3 linked regions of the Saccharomyces cerevisiae S288C genome follow. The main gene of each other region encodes a partner of the protein of the gene in region 2 in a complex. Each region holds a gene or a part of one and is shown on either strand. Other genes may lie near its edges. A codon is read from its position in the direction of its gene.

Region 1 (4,042 bases), on a different chromosome or scaffold from region 2:
GTATCAGCAGCTTGTTCAAAAGGTTGGGCTTCCTGCACAGCGTCTAGAATAGGATCAGCAACGGAAGCAGTACGCATCTTCAATCTTGCCTTGTCATCTTCAGAAATCTTGACATCTGAGGCACGGTTCGCTCCGTCATGATCACTCGTGTTACTGATACTGGATTTCTTTCTAAAATGCATCATATTGCCTTGGTGTGCTGTTTTAACCTTGTTTGATGTTTGCTGTGTCTCTTGTGTTAGTTCTCTGCCTAGTGAAACCGAAAATGCTCAAGAAAGCGTACCACGAAAGTACTCCTTTCTTTTCTATTAATAAATAAACAAATAAATAATACAGGTTGCTTTGCCTCGATGGTAAAAGGAAAGAAAATTTCGGATCCGAAAATTTTTAGCGCATTCTCTGGGCGCCGTGCACCACGTCAATTTGACAGAGATGATGTTACGATTATTTGTATTATTGTATAAATATTTATATATATATGTGCGTGTGCATATACTGGCTTTCTATTTTTATTTATTAGATTCTTGGCAACAGGCAAGGATGGACTGCTTGACACTTTCGCAAGCATTTTTGAGTTCCTCTGGGGACATGGCGGCGTTACAGCAGATTTTCAAGCTAGGGACAATTGGTAGCGTCTCCTGTTTTAAAACAATAGTGTTTCTTGTGATGAGAACGTTGTAGTTAATAAGAGCATGATCTACTATGGACTGCAGAAATTTTTCCTCCTCTTCGTATGGCTCAATGAATTTGTTTGTCTGGGACTTCTTTTGCAAAGCTGACATGGTTTCGAATAGCTGTTCGCAGGTGTATCCGAACTTGCGAGACCTATATGCGGGAGTCAGTTGCAGATGTAGGACAGCAGACACTGGAGAGGACGTGACGATTACGTATGAACGCAAGGAGTCGTCAGATGCAAAGGAATCATGCAAAGATTTGGATAGTTTTTGCAGCGTCTGGACGGCGTCGTTGTTGGAGTCCATCAATTTCAAGACTTTGGAGACGGATGTGACGGTGTAAGCCGGCAAACAGGCAGAAAAACAATATGCATTGGAACCAATACGCTGGTGCAAACACATAACACTGTCACCCAGGACAAAACCACCGGTGGACCCCAACGCGGTGGCCATGGACCCAACGGTAATGTCAATGGCAGTTGCGCGATCCATGTTGAAGTGCTCTGACAACCCACGGCCCGTAGCGCCAAGAACACCAATGGAGAAGGTTTCGTCAACAAATAGTCTGAACTTGTACTTGTTCTTCAGCTTAGTCAACTCAGGCAACGGAGCTAAATCGCCCGAGTTGTGGAAAATACCCTCAGTGACGATAAATTTTCTTGGAATGGCGGGCAGTTTCTCAAGTTTCTCCTGTTCGGTCAACTCGTTTAATAAACATTCTAGCGAATTCATATCGTTGTGGTTGAAGTAGTAGACTGTGGATCTGCTTAGTTGCAGAGCATTTTGCACTGGTAATGACACCTGGTCGTCTGCCACGATAACATCACCACGCTTTGTGAAAGCAGGCAGAACAGAGGGTGCGGCACAAAAGTCTTGCCCGTACAGAACGGAACCTTGGGTGCCAAAGAACTGTGCTAAATCATATTCCAACGTGTAATGAACGTCCTGGTTACCGTAGAACCCGGCGGGACCACAGGCGCCCACACCGTAATTCTTGATAGTGGTCTTGACCACTTCTTTCACGGGCTCCGTAGCGGACAATTGCAAAAAGTTGTTCGAGGCCAAATTGAAAACATTGGTATACTTCTCCTGCAGGTTGTTTCTGGTGATAGTAATATGGTTCTGAATGGGCATTTCCATGGTGACGGGTGTTTTGGCCACCCTCCACGATTGCTCATCGGTGGCAGAAGGGTCGACTAGAGGCTCGGGCTCCCAGTCCTCAATTAGCGCGTCAATCTCCTGGGGCGATAGGTTGGGCTTCTGTGCTTGAAGACTCTTTTTCTGTTGTGGCTTGGACAAGTAATAGATGATCCCGTATAAAATAAGCCCTATCTCAACCGTGGTCCTGTATGGATCGTCATGATGCGATTTCTTGATGTACGAAACGATGAATTGGCCTCCCGGGATTTGAGTCAACACCAGATTGAAGTAGTACCATAGGTACGATGAGGTGGTAACAATAAATGCCGGAATCGGTATTGATTTGGGTAAAACCTCTGGGATGTGTGCCATTGCTTTTTTTTTTTGGGTGGGAAGGAAGAAAAAAGGATAAATAACCCTACACGAGCAAAATGTGTATATTGGAGGCCAGGCAGAAGGTTAGAGCGCTCTTATACTGTGCTACTCGATGATGTTGAAAAGAATTTTTTTTATTTTTCCTTTTCTTTTTCTTAAGTACTATATTTTCTCAATCTTACTTTCGTTCACTACAGTTAACCGCAGCAATATGCCCCTATAAAAAAGAATGAGTGAAAAATTTGTTAGCAGAGAAGCAAGAAGGAAAGAAGGAAAAAAAAAAGAAACCGTGTAAGAAATCATGGCGCCTCAAAAAAAAAAAAATACGCGAAATCGATTTCCGTATATGATGATACATATGTTAGGTCTCTTATGGTAGTTTTTAGGGTCTGTCCTGTTTTTTGAAGGCATTGGTTAGGGTCTAGTAAGTAACTCGTATAAAGAGATGTACTTTTATACGGTATGTGTGGCGGTTATTTCCAGTGTTTTTTTTCCCTTATTTTGTGGGTTCATGGAAATAGTACATATTGACCTTCTGCACAAGAAGCCATATTGACAGAGCAGTATGTGAGGACCTTTCTTCTACACAATGTAACAGTCAATGGTTGTAGTCAATACCACGACCTTTACGTGCAGTTTTAGAGCGAAACTTCGGTTTTTTGAGACTTACCTCGTGTTTGTGTCTCCCTGGGAATGGAGCCGCGCCACCCTTGTCTATTATGTATAGTCTTATTTAATCATAGCGATGTTGGTCATCCAGTACACTTCGGTAGCAACCTTCGTTTGTGATTGTCTTGGTAATTGCTTCCAACAACTTTATCCATCATTGAGACAGGGGCCATATCACCCGCGGGGTCTCAAAGAAGGGGCCCACTAATAAAAGCACGAGATAAGAATGCCAGCAAAAAAGCTCCGAAATAATTCTTTTCGTCTTCCCTCCTAGTCTTAACAAGACAAGAGAGAGAGAGAGAAAGAATACTCACTAGAGATTGTTTCTTTTCTACTCAACTTAAAGTATACATACGCTATGAAAGCATTCACCAGTTTACTATGTGGACTAGGCCTGTCCACTACACTCGCTAAGGCCATCTCATTGCAAAGACCGTTGGGTCTAGATAAGGACGTTTTGCTGCAAGCTGCGGAAAAATTTGGTTTGGACCTCGACCTGGATCATCTCTTGAAGGAGTTGGACTCCAATGTATTGGACGCTTGGGCCCAAATAGAGCATTTGTACCCAAACCAGGTTATGAGCCTTGAAACTTCCACTAAGCCAAAATTCCCTGAAGCAATCAAAACGAAGAAAGACTGGGACTTTGTGGTCAAGAATGACGCAATTGAAAACTATCAGCTTCGTGTCAACAAGATTAAGGACCCTAAAATCCTGGGCATTGACCCAAATGTCACACAGTACACGGGTTACTTGGATGTGGAAGACGAGGACAAGCATTTCTTCTTTTGGACTTTTGAAAGTAGAAACGATCCTGCAAAGGATCCGGTCATCCTTTGGTTGAACGGGGGTCCAGGTTGTTCTTCACTAACCGGGCTGTTCTTTGAATTAGGACCCTCATCCATTGGACCTGATTTGAAACCCATCGGGAACCCTTACTCTTGGAACAGCAATGCCACCGTGATCTTCCTTGACCAGCCTGTCAACGTTGGGTTCTCGTATTCCGGGTCCTCAGGTGTTTCCAACACTGTCGCCGCTGGTAAGGATGTCTATAACTTCTTGGAGTTGTTCTTCGATCAGTTCCCTGAATACGTCAACAAGGGCCAAGATTTCCACATCGCTGGGGAATCCTACGCCGGCCATTACATCCCTGTTTTTGCCTCTGAAATTTTGTCTCACAAGGACA
Region 2 (3,023 bases):
TCTTCTTGCTTTCTTTATTTGCTATGTATCTTTATGTTTATATGTATATAAATCTGCCTACTTGTCTTCCTTTGGCATGCCAACCCTATGTTTTTTCAATTGCTCAATTGCAAAGAAAATTAACATTGTGAATGGACCCAGTCTAGTGAAACTTGGCAACCACCCCCGGAACATGAAAGATGGGCCCTCTTTGCGGACAGCGTCGGCAAGGATCTTCAAAGCCGGTTGATGGTCTCCGCTGCCGTTCATGATACGTGTCTTCATGACGTCTGCTGGAGAGCACACAGTGGTGGCCACCAGGCCAGCCAACAGGGACGCTGTCAAGTGTGTATAGTTCTTGGATGCGTCGAAATCTAATTTTGTGACCAAGTAGTTCTTAAACACGTCATACGTAACGACCTGACTTGCCGTCATCAGTATGCCCCTAACCATGTTAGGCTTCCAACCGGTAAACAAGGTTTTCAGTCCACCCTCGTAGCGATATATCTTGTACACACCATCGATAGCGTTTTTGTAGTTTCTCCTCTTCGCTGCCTCCAAAGCAGAGTCGTTTTGCATTCTGATATTTACAACATCTGCAAAATTCCCTGCAAGCCCCCCAATGGCACCACTGAACATGGAGCAAGGTAAAAGATACGCCATGTTAGTCAATTGCTCGCGTGGGATCACATTCTCTTTCAACAAGTCGTATGCACCGAATCTCACCGTCGTGTATGTACATTGCCTCAACACAGCAGCGCTCAGGCCGGAATATAACCCCACCACACCTTCATTCGCCAAGATACTCTCCAACATCCTGAAGAGTGTGGGCTTGGGCATAGGAGCCGCCTGCAGTCTGACTTTGGCCAAGTCAAGAGGATGTGTCACCATGGTAGCAAAGATACCCGCTGCACCTCCGTACCACCATGGATACTTGATATTCTTACCGGCAGACTCTTTTGCGTTGGTTGACATGCCGTCCAGCTGTTGCGTTATCTTTTCGACACTTTCAGAGCAAGAGAAACGAACCTCTACACATAAATATGCATACGATTATGTATATCCATATATATATATACACTACAAGCCGACCGCCCGACCGTTTCCTGCCCCCAACATTGCAGCGTAATCGCTTGCCAAAGACCACACCTTGCAGCCCTTTTATACAAACATGTCTACGACGTACAGTGGAGAGGGCCCTTTCCTTGGCACTCAACTGAGATTGCGACGCGATACCTTCTGCGACCGTTCCTACTATCGCGGCCATAACTCCAACAACGACAGCGGATGCGCTGTTCTGCGGATGCGTGACCGTATCCGCAAAGAACGAAGATTAAATTTAGGGTCCCCGGCATTGAGGATGGTTCTGCCAAGAACTCACGATATAAACCAGTTGGTTGAGCATCGCATGGATGAGTATGGCGTATTTTGATTGCTCATATATAGTGGGGGGGAATACTCATGCTGTGAAAAGCACAACTCTTTTCACTCAACGAGGTTAATGCCTTCTTTGTCTCCACGCCGTTTTTTTCTGGCGCCCTTTTGAGAAAGATAGCCTGTCCCGTAATCGTGGCTTTGGCAGAGACAGAGGGTGAGCGAAAGAGCGGGCGAAACCGAGAATGGATTCCGAGTAAAGGATTGCGATGGCATGAAACAAAACCGAGAGGCACTCCTTGTAAGGACACACATACACAGACGTAAACATATATATACATACGTATACTCAAATATATCTTCGTATCATTAGGTCAGCTTCTCTCTTCCGCACGTAGAATTAGAGAATTAACGCAAGACTATACCATTATAAAAACGCATAAGAAACAGTTTCATCATGATTGACCGCACTAAAAACGAATCTCCAGCTTTTGAAGAGTCTCCGCTTACCCCCAATGTGTCTAACCTGAAACCATTCCCTTCTCAAAGCAACAAAATATCCACTCCAGTGACCGACCATAGGAGAAGACGGTCATCCAGCGTAATATCACATGTGGAACAGGAAACCTTCGAAGACGAAAATGACCAGCAGATGCTTCCCAACATGAACGCTACGTGGGTCGACCAGCGAGGCGCGTGGTTGATTCATATCGTCGTAATAGTACTCTTGAGGCTCTTCTACTCCTTGTTCGGGTCGACGCCCAAATGGACGTGGACTTTAACAAACATGACCTACATCATCGGATTCTATATCATGTTCCACCTTGTCAAAGGTACGCCCTTCGACTTTAACGGTGGTGCGTACGACAACCTGACCATGTGGGAGCAGATTAACGATGAGACTTTGTACACACCCACTAGAAAATTTCTGCTGATTGTACCCATTGTGTTGTTCCTGATTAGCAACCAGTACTACCGCAACGACATGACACTATTCCTCTCCAACCTCGCCGTGACGGTGCTTATTGGTGTCGTTCCTAAGCTGGGAATTACGCATAGACTAAGAATATCCATCCCTGGTATTACGGGCCGTGCTCAAATTAGTTAGTTGGCTCTGCCTATACGCATATATGTATATATATATATATATATATGTATGTATGTGTATATGTATATGTACGTATACCTTACATCATCATCTTTCTTTATATTCTCTCTAATGCGCATTTACATCGGAGTACACGTCAAATCTTCTTTGTTTGGTTAAGGGTACCGCTTGTCTAAATGACTCAATGACTTCGGGATCTAATTCAGCATAAATAATCTCTTCTCCCTCGCCAGCTTCAGCTACAATCTTGCCTCTAGGGTCCACCACTATAGAGTGGCCATATGCATGGTAAGAACTCTGTAGATTCCTTGCGGGAGAACATAACATCACGTACACTTGGTTGTCAACTGCCCTGCTTCTTGCCAGTAAATGCCAATGCAAGGGCCCTGTGACAGTGTTGAATGCACTAGGGTAGATCATGGCAAACGCACCCTTGCGTGCACTTAGCATTGCGAGTTCCGGAAACCTCATGTCATAGCATATACCTACGCCAAACTTACCATATTTCGTGTCAATGGTAGTAGACTTCTCTCCAGGGCTCAAGGTTTCACTTTCATGGAAC
Region 3 (4,422 bases), on a different chromosome or scaffold from region 2:
GGTGTCAATAATAGGGACCTGCATTCATTCAACGTAGACCTAAATACCACCAGTAACTTGGTAGAATCTATTCCAAAGGATGTTCTTCTAATTGCTCTATCGGGAATTACCACCAGGGACGATGCTGAAAAATACAAAAAAGAAGGTGTCCATGGATTTTTAGTGGGTGAAGCCCTAATGAAATCAACCGATGTGAAGAAGTTCATTCATGAATTATGCGAATAATTGAAACTTACACGGTACAATAGGGAAAAAAACTTAACGTTGTAAGGGCGAACGCCTTCATGTATAGTAGCCTATAGAAGATATATATATATATATATATATATATATATGACCATGAAAGATAAAGTAAAAAAGAAAATAAATAGCTTGTTCTTCCCTCTGGGGCCGGCGTTCATTTTTTTATTTTTTTATTTTTTAACTTACTTTTTTTCTCGTTTTTATCATATTTTCGGTTTTACGTTTTGGATTTACAATAATCATCATTTTATCACATATAGAACTCATTAATCTCTTTTTAAAGGATCCGGCTTGGAAAATTTAGGACTCTGTGCATATTTCAAACCTTTGAATTGTTGTTCTTTATCATGCGTTTGATGAACGACCAAGAACCCAACGTCTACTAACTTAGGCCAGTTGACAAACTGAATACCGTTCTTAAACATGAATTTGGTTGAAAGCGCCAAGACAATCGACGCACCTGCAAAATACAGCAAATTCTTACTGCTGGTAAATCTATCTTTAGGAAAAAATATCGTAGCACCTAAAACGGTCAAGGCTGCGCAAATGATCATTGGGATCAGCTGAATATACACTGGTCTTCTGTCGGGGAATGGCGACTTGATAGAAGCGGTATGTGGTCTAAATCCACCAAGGAATAAATCGTATGAATCCTGTCTTGGACCATCAGTCCAATTGTTCTGGTAATAACGTGATGCTGAATTCAAAAAATCGTTGAATGCACCTAGACGTGTACGCTTACCGGTTCTTGTGAAATCGGTCTTCAAAGCTCCAGTGCCCGAATATGCCACACTAACTGCATCTGCATTATCAGCCCATAAGTTTTGGTAAGAAGTTAACAATGGAGCGTTGTCTTCCCAAGTGCTTCCAGTAGCAACGACATCGGCACTTTCAAACTCCTTTTGCAAAACCCACTGGGCTAAAACAGATTGAACGACATTTGTTCTGTCCAAACAATCCATACAGTTTGTTCTTACAACGGAATGTTGCTCATTAACAATTTCAACGGTGTTACCATTAGAGTCTATGACCTTGTGGAAGAAATCTTCGTTAGATAAACCTAATTTCTCCAGGTGATCAATTAACAATTTCACTCTATGCCATTGCATCTTACGACATTCATGGTGGAAGTCAAAATACACGTAGTGAATCTTCGGATCGTTTAGCGCGTGCACGACTGATTCATAGCCCTCTTTCACGGGTAGTTCGTGGCCCTTTTGGTTGACTAGGTTAACCAAGTAGTTGTCGCCATATAACTCCTTTTGCTGGTCAAAATGCTTTTTTGTCGCATCTAATGAGTTTTCTCCAAGAACAAGATTTGGCTTGTACTTCAAGTTGTTGATTTCAGCCCAGTATATTGGCACAGATCCTCTTGTCTGTAAGAAGGAGAAAACGTGTATTTTTTCACTCTCTGGATTCTCAGCGAGTAAAATTTGCTCAGTTTCATTGAAATTGCCAACGTTACCGTCTTTGTCAACACCACGACGGAAGTATCTTGTGCCCGCCCTAAATATACTACGTCTGGTAATCAAACCAAGAACGATAGGGGTGGCATTCAAAACGGCGTCCACTGTCTTGGCATACCCATAGATAACAGGTTGTATAAAGGAGTCAATTCTAGGATCTTGATGAGCAAAGTTTCTCAAATCTTCAGTTAAGTAATGGTTCCAAAAGAATCGTTCATCAGCGGTTTTCCAGGAGGCTGCAGGACCAACCTTTTCATTTCTTTGTAAGGAATTTGTTAAATCATATGTGTATGAAAAATAAAAGGTGGAATTTTTCAAATGCAACTCCAGTAGCTTGATATATTCGGCTTCTTCAGAATCGATTCTCGAGTTAAACTTGGTAGATACGATAGAATGTTGCAACACTCTATAGAAAACGTGGCCATTGAATCTACCGGTCTCTTCCACAGTATTTGCGATAATGGCATACCTGTTCAACTTTAGCTTAATGAACCCCATCAAGGACGCAATCTTTACTACTTCACCTTGCACAGGAAATTCCTCTGCTCCAAGGACCCGAACACCTTGATCTTGATTGGCCAAGTGAATAACAGCATCGTTAGTTCCTTTGCCCTCAGCAAGCTTGAAGAAGATACCGTCCGCATTTTGAACGTACACTATTGGACCTGTCATATCTAGACGAGAAAATATACGTGTATATAAATATTATCGTTACTGTTATAGGGATATGGTTTCTAATCCTTTCTCCTATTTCCTTATCTAAACCTGTGGTATTTTTCCCTTGCCTTTTCAACTTCAATAAGCTGGAATTAAATTTGTAGTGTGGGTAAGCAGTAGTGCAGCAATGCGTGCGTGTGCAAGCTCTTGAATATTGAAGGTCTACAGGTTACTAAAACAATAGGAGCGAGGCTTGGACGTCGAGAAAGTTGCTGACCTTGGCATTTCCTTTGCGAGTTTTTCAAAATTTTTCACACTCGTTCAGGACCACGAAAAATAAATCATATGAGATTTTAGTACGCTGATAATAAGGGAAGGCCACTGTCTTGGCTTATTTTATATATATATATTCATGTGTGATAGTAAGGTGTAGAGCAGCAGATTTGGAGTATGGGATATCAATTGAGTGCAACACTTAAAGGGCACGATCAGGACGTCAGGGATGTGGTAGCTGTGGATGATTCAAAGGTTGCTAGTGTTTCGAGGGATGGAACAGTTCGCTTGTGGTCTAAAGATGACCAATGGCTCGGTACGGTAGTTTATACAGGACAAGGATTTTTAAATAGTGTGTGTTATGATTCCGAGAAGGAGTTGTTGCTTTTTGGAGGTAAGGATACTATGATCAACGGTGTGCCCTTGTTTGCCACCTCAGGAGAGGATCCCTTGTATACCTTGATTGGCCACCAAGGGAACGTTTGTAGTTTATCCTTCCAAGATGGTGTTGTGATAAGCGGTAGTTGGGACAAAACCGCAAAGGTTTGGAAAGAAGGATCGTTGGTTTACAATTTGCAAGCACACAATGCCTCTGTATGGGATGCCAAAGTCGTATCCTTCTCAGAAAATAAATTCTTGACAGCTTCCGCCGATAAGACGATTAAACTGTGGCAAAACGATAAAGTGATCAAAACTTTCAGTGGGATTCACAATGATGTAGTAAGACATTTAGCTGTGGTGGATGATGGCCATTTTATCAGTTGTTCAAACGATGGCCTCATCAAGTTGGTTGATATGCATACAGGTGACGTACTAAGAACATATGAAGGCCATGAAAGCTTTGTTTATTGCATTAAACTGCTGCCCAATGGAGATATTGTAAGCTGCGGCGAAGACCGAACAGTCCGTATATGGTCAAAGGAAAATGGTTCGTTAAAGCAGGTAATTACACTTCCTGCCATCTCTATTTGGTCCGTTGATTGTATGTCTAATGGTGATATTATTGTGGGAAGTAGTGATAATCTTGTGAGAATATTTTCGCAAGAGAAGTCAAGATGGGCTTCCGAGGATGAAATAAATGAACTATCTACGCAAGTGGAAAAATCCACTATAAGTTCCAAGACAATAGAATTTGATGAGTCTAAACTATCACCTTATGAAATTTTACAATCGCCGGGGCGCAAAGAGGGTCAAATTGTGGTAGTCAAATCACCTCAAGGTACTATAGAAGCTCATCAATTTTCAAATTCTTCATGGAAAAAGGTTGGTGATGTTGTCGGTGCAGGTGCTACTGGAAACGACAAAAAAATAGAATTCGAGGGTAAAACGTATGACTACGTATTTGATGTGGATATTGAAGATGGAAAACCTCCCTTGAAATTGCCGATTAATGTCAGCGACAACCCATATACAGCAGCCGACAATTTTTTGGCTCGTTATGAACTGCCAATGAGTTATAGGGATCAAGTAGTACAGTTCATACTGAAGAACACTAATGGCATATCGCTAGACCAGCCCAACGATAATGCATCATCTTCTGCAGTATCACCTTCAAAAACGAGCGTAATGAAGGTTCTTCCTGTCAAGCAGTATCTTATCATGGAAAATTATAACCCAGATACTATTTTCAATGGAATAGTAAAAATAAATTCAAATGAGAAGACCTTTGATGATGAAATTCTGGCGCAAATTGGTGGCGCACTACATGACATAGATGAAAGCTGGGAGTTGCTACTTTCATTTGCTAACACTATAAGATCTAACTGGGAAATTAAGACTCCTG

The links. Proteins that work in one complex are often made in the same cells at the same time.
Region 1: the proteins of ORM2 (region 2) and LCB1 are in contact, whole or in part, in a cryo-EM structure (PDB 8QOG), measured with the Saccharomyces cerevisiae proteins. Residues at the interface, in NP_013454.1 of Saccharomyces cerevisiae: Pro37 (codon at 1,919), Val38 (codon at 1,922), Thr39 (codon at 1,925), His41 (codon at 1,931), Arg42 (codon at 1,934), Arg43 (codon at 1,937), Arg45 (codon at 1,943), Gln55 (codon at 1,973), Glu56 (codon at 1,976), Glu59 (codon at 1,985), Asp60 (codon at 1,988), Glu61 (codon at 1,991), Asn62 (codon at 1,994), Gln64 (codon at 2,000), Gly133 (codon at 2,207), Gly134 (codon at 2,210), Ala135 (codon at 2,213), Asp137 (codon at 2,219), Glu148 (codon at 2,252), Thr149 (codon at 2,255), Leu150 (codon at 2,258), Tyr151 (codon at 2,261), Pro153 (codon at 2,267), Arg155 (codon at 2,273), Lys156 (codon at 2,276), Leu159 (codon at 2,285), Ile163 (codon at 2,297), Phe166 (codon at 2,306), Leu167 (codon at 2,309), Asn170 (codon at 2,318); in NP_014025.1 of Saccharomyces cerevisiae: Arg56 (codon at 2,021), Val59 (codon at 2,012), Glu60 (codon at 2,009), Leu63 (codon at 2,000), Ile64 (codon at 1,997), Tyr66 (codon at 1,991), Gly67 (codon at 1,988), Tyr70 (codon at 1,979), Tyr71 (codon at 1,976), Ser73 (codon at 1,970), Lys74 (codon at 1,967), Gln76 (codon at 1,961), Gln77 (codon at 1,958), Lys79 (codon at 1,952), Ser80 (codon at 1,949), Leu81 (codon at 1,946), Gln82 (codon at 1,943), Lys227 (codon at 1,508), Arg228 (codon at 1,505), Gly229 (codon at 1,502), Arg250 (codon at 1,439), Ser251 (codon at 1,436), Thr252 (codon at 1,433), Val253 (codon at 1,430), Tyr254 (codon at 1,427), Tyr255 (codon at 1,424), Leu280 (codon at 1,349), Pro281 (codon at 1,346).
Region 3: ORM2 (region 2) and SAC1 share a complex: the UniProt entries of both Saccharomyces cerevisiae proteins name them as parts of the SPOTS complex.

What each region holds. Positions count from the first base shown.
Region 1 is NC_001145.3:858,706-862,747, forward strand, and holds LCB1 (serine C-palmitoyltransferase LCB1), read right to left. Parts: upstream 2,187-4,042; coding exon 510-2,186; downstream 1-509. Other genes in the region: GSR1 (Gsr1p), read right to left, coding at 1-185; carboxypeptidase C PRC1, read left to right, coding at 3,217-4,042. UniProt on the Saccharomyces cerevisiae protein: Component of serine palmitoyltransferase (SPT), which catalyzes the committed step in the synthesis of sphingolipids, the condensation of serine with palmitoyl CoA to form the long chain base 3-ketosphinganine.
Region 2 is NC_001144.5:826,920-829,942, forward strand, and holds ORM2 (sphingolipid homeostasis protein ORM2), read left to right. Parts: upstream 1-1,810; coding exon 1,811-2,461; downstream 2,462-3,023. Other genes in the region: DIC1 (Dic1p), read right to left, coding at 58-954; NIT3 (putative hydrolase), read right to left, coding at 2,570-3,023. UniProt on the Saccharomyces cerevisiae protein: Component of the SPOTS complex that acts as a negative regulator of sphingolipid synthesis. Acts by inhibiting serine palmitoyltransferases (LCB1 and LCB2) activity.
Region 3 is NC_001143.9:32,502-36,923, reverse strand, and holds SAC1 (phosphatidylinositol-3-phosphatase SAC1), read right to left. Parts: upstream 2,382-4,422; coding exon 510-2,381; downstream 1-509. Other genes in the region: TRP3 (bifunctional anthranilate synthase/indole-3-glycerol-phosphate synthase), read left to right, coding at 1-225; DOA1 (Doa1p), read left to right, coding at 2,817-4,422. UniProt on the Saccharomyces cerevisiae protein: Phosphoinositide phosphatase which catalyzes the hydrolysis of phosphatidylinositol 3-phosphate (PtdIns(3)P) and phosphatidylinositol 4-phosphate (PtdIns(4)P). Has low activity towards phosphatidylinositol-3,5-bisphosphate (PtdIns(3,5)P2).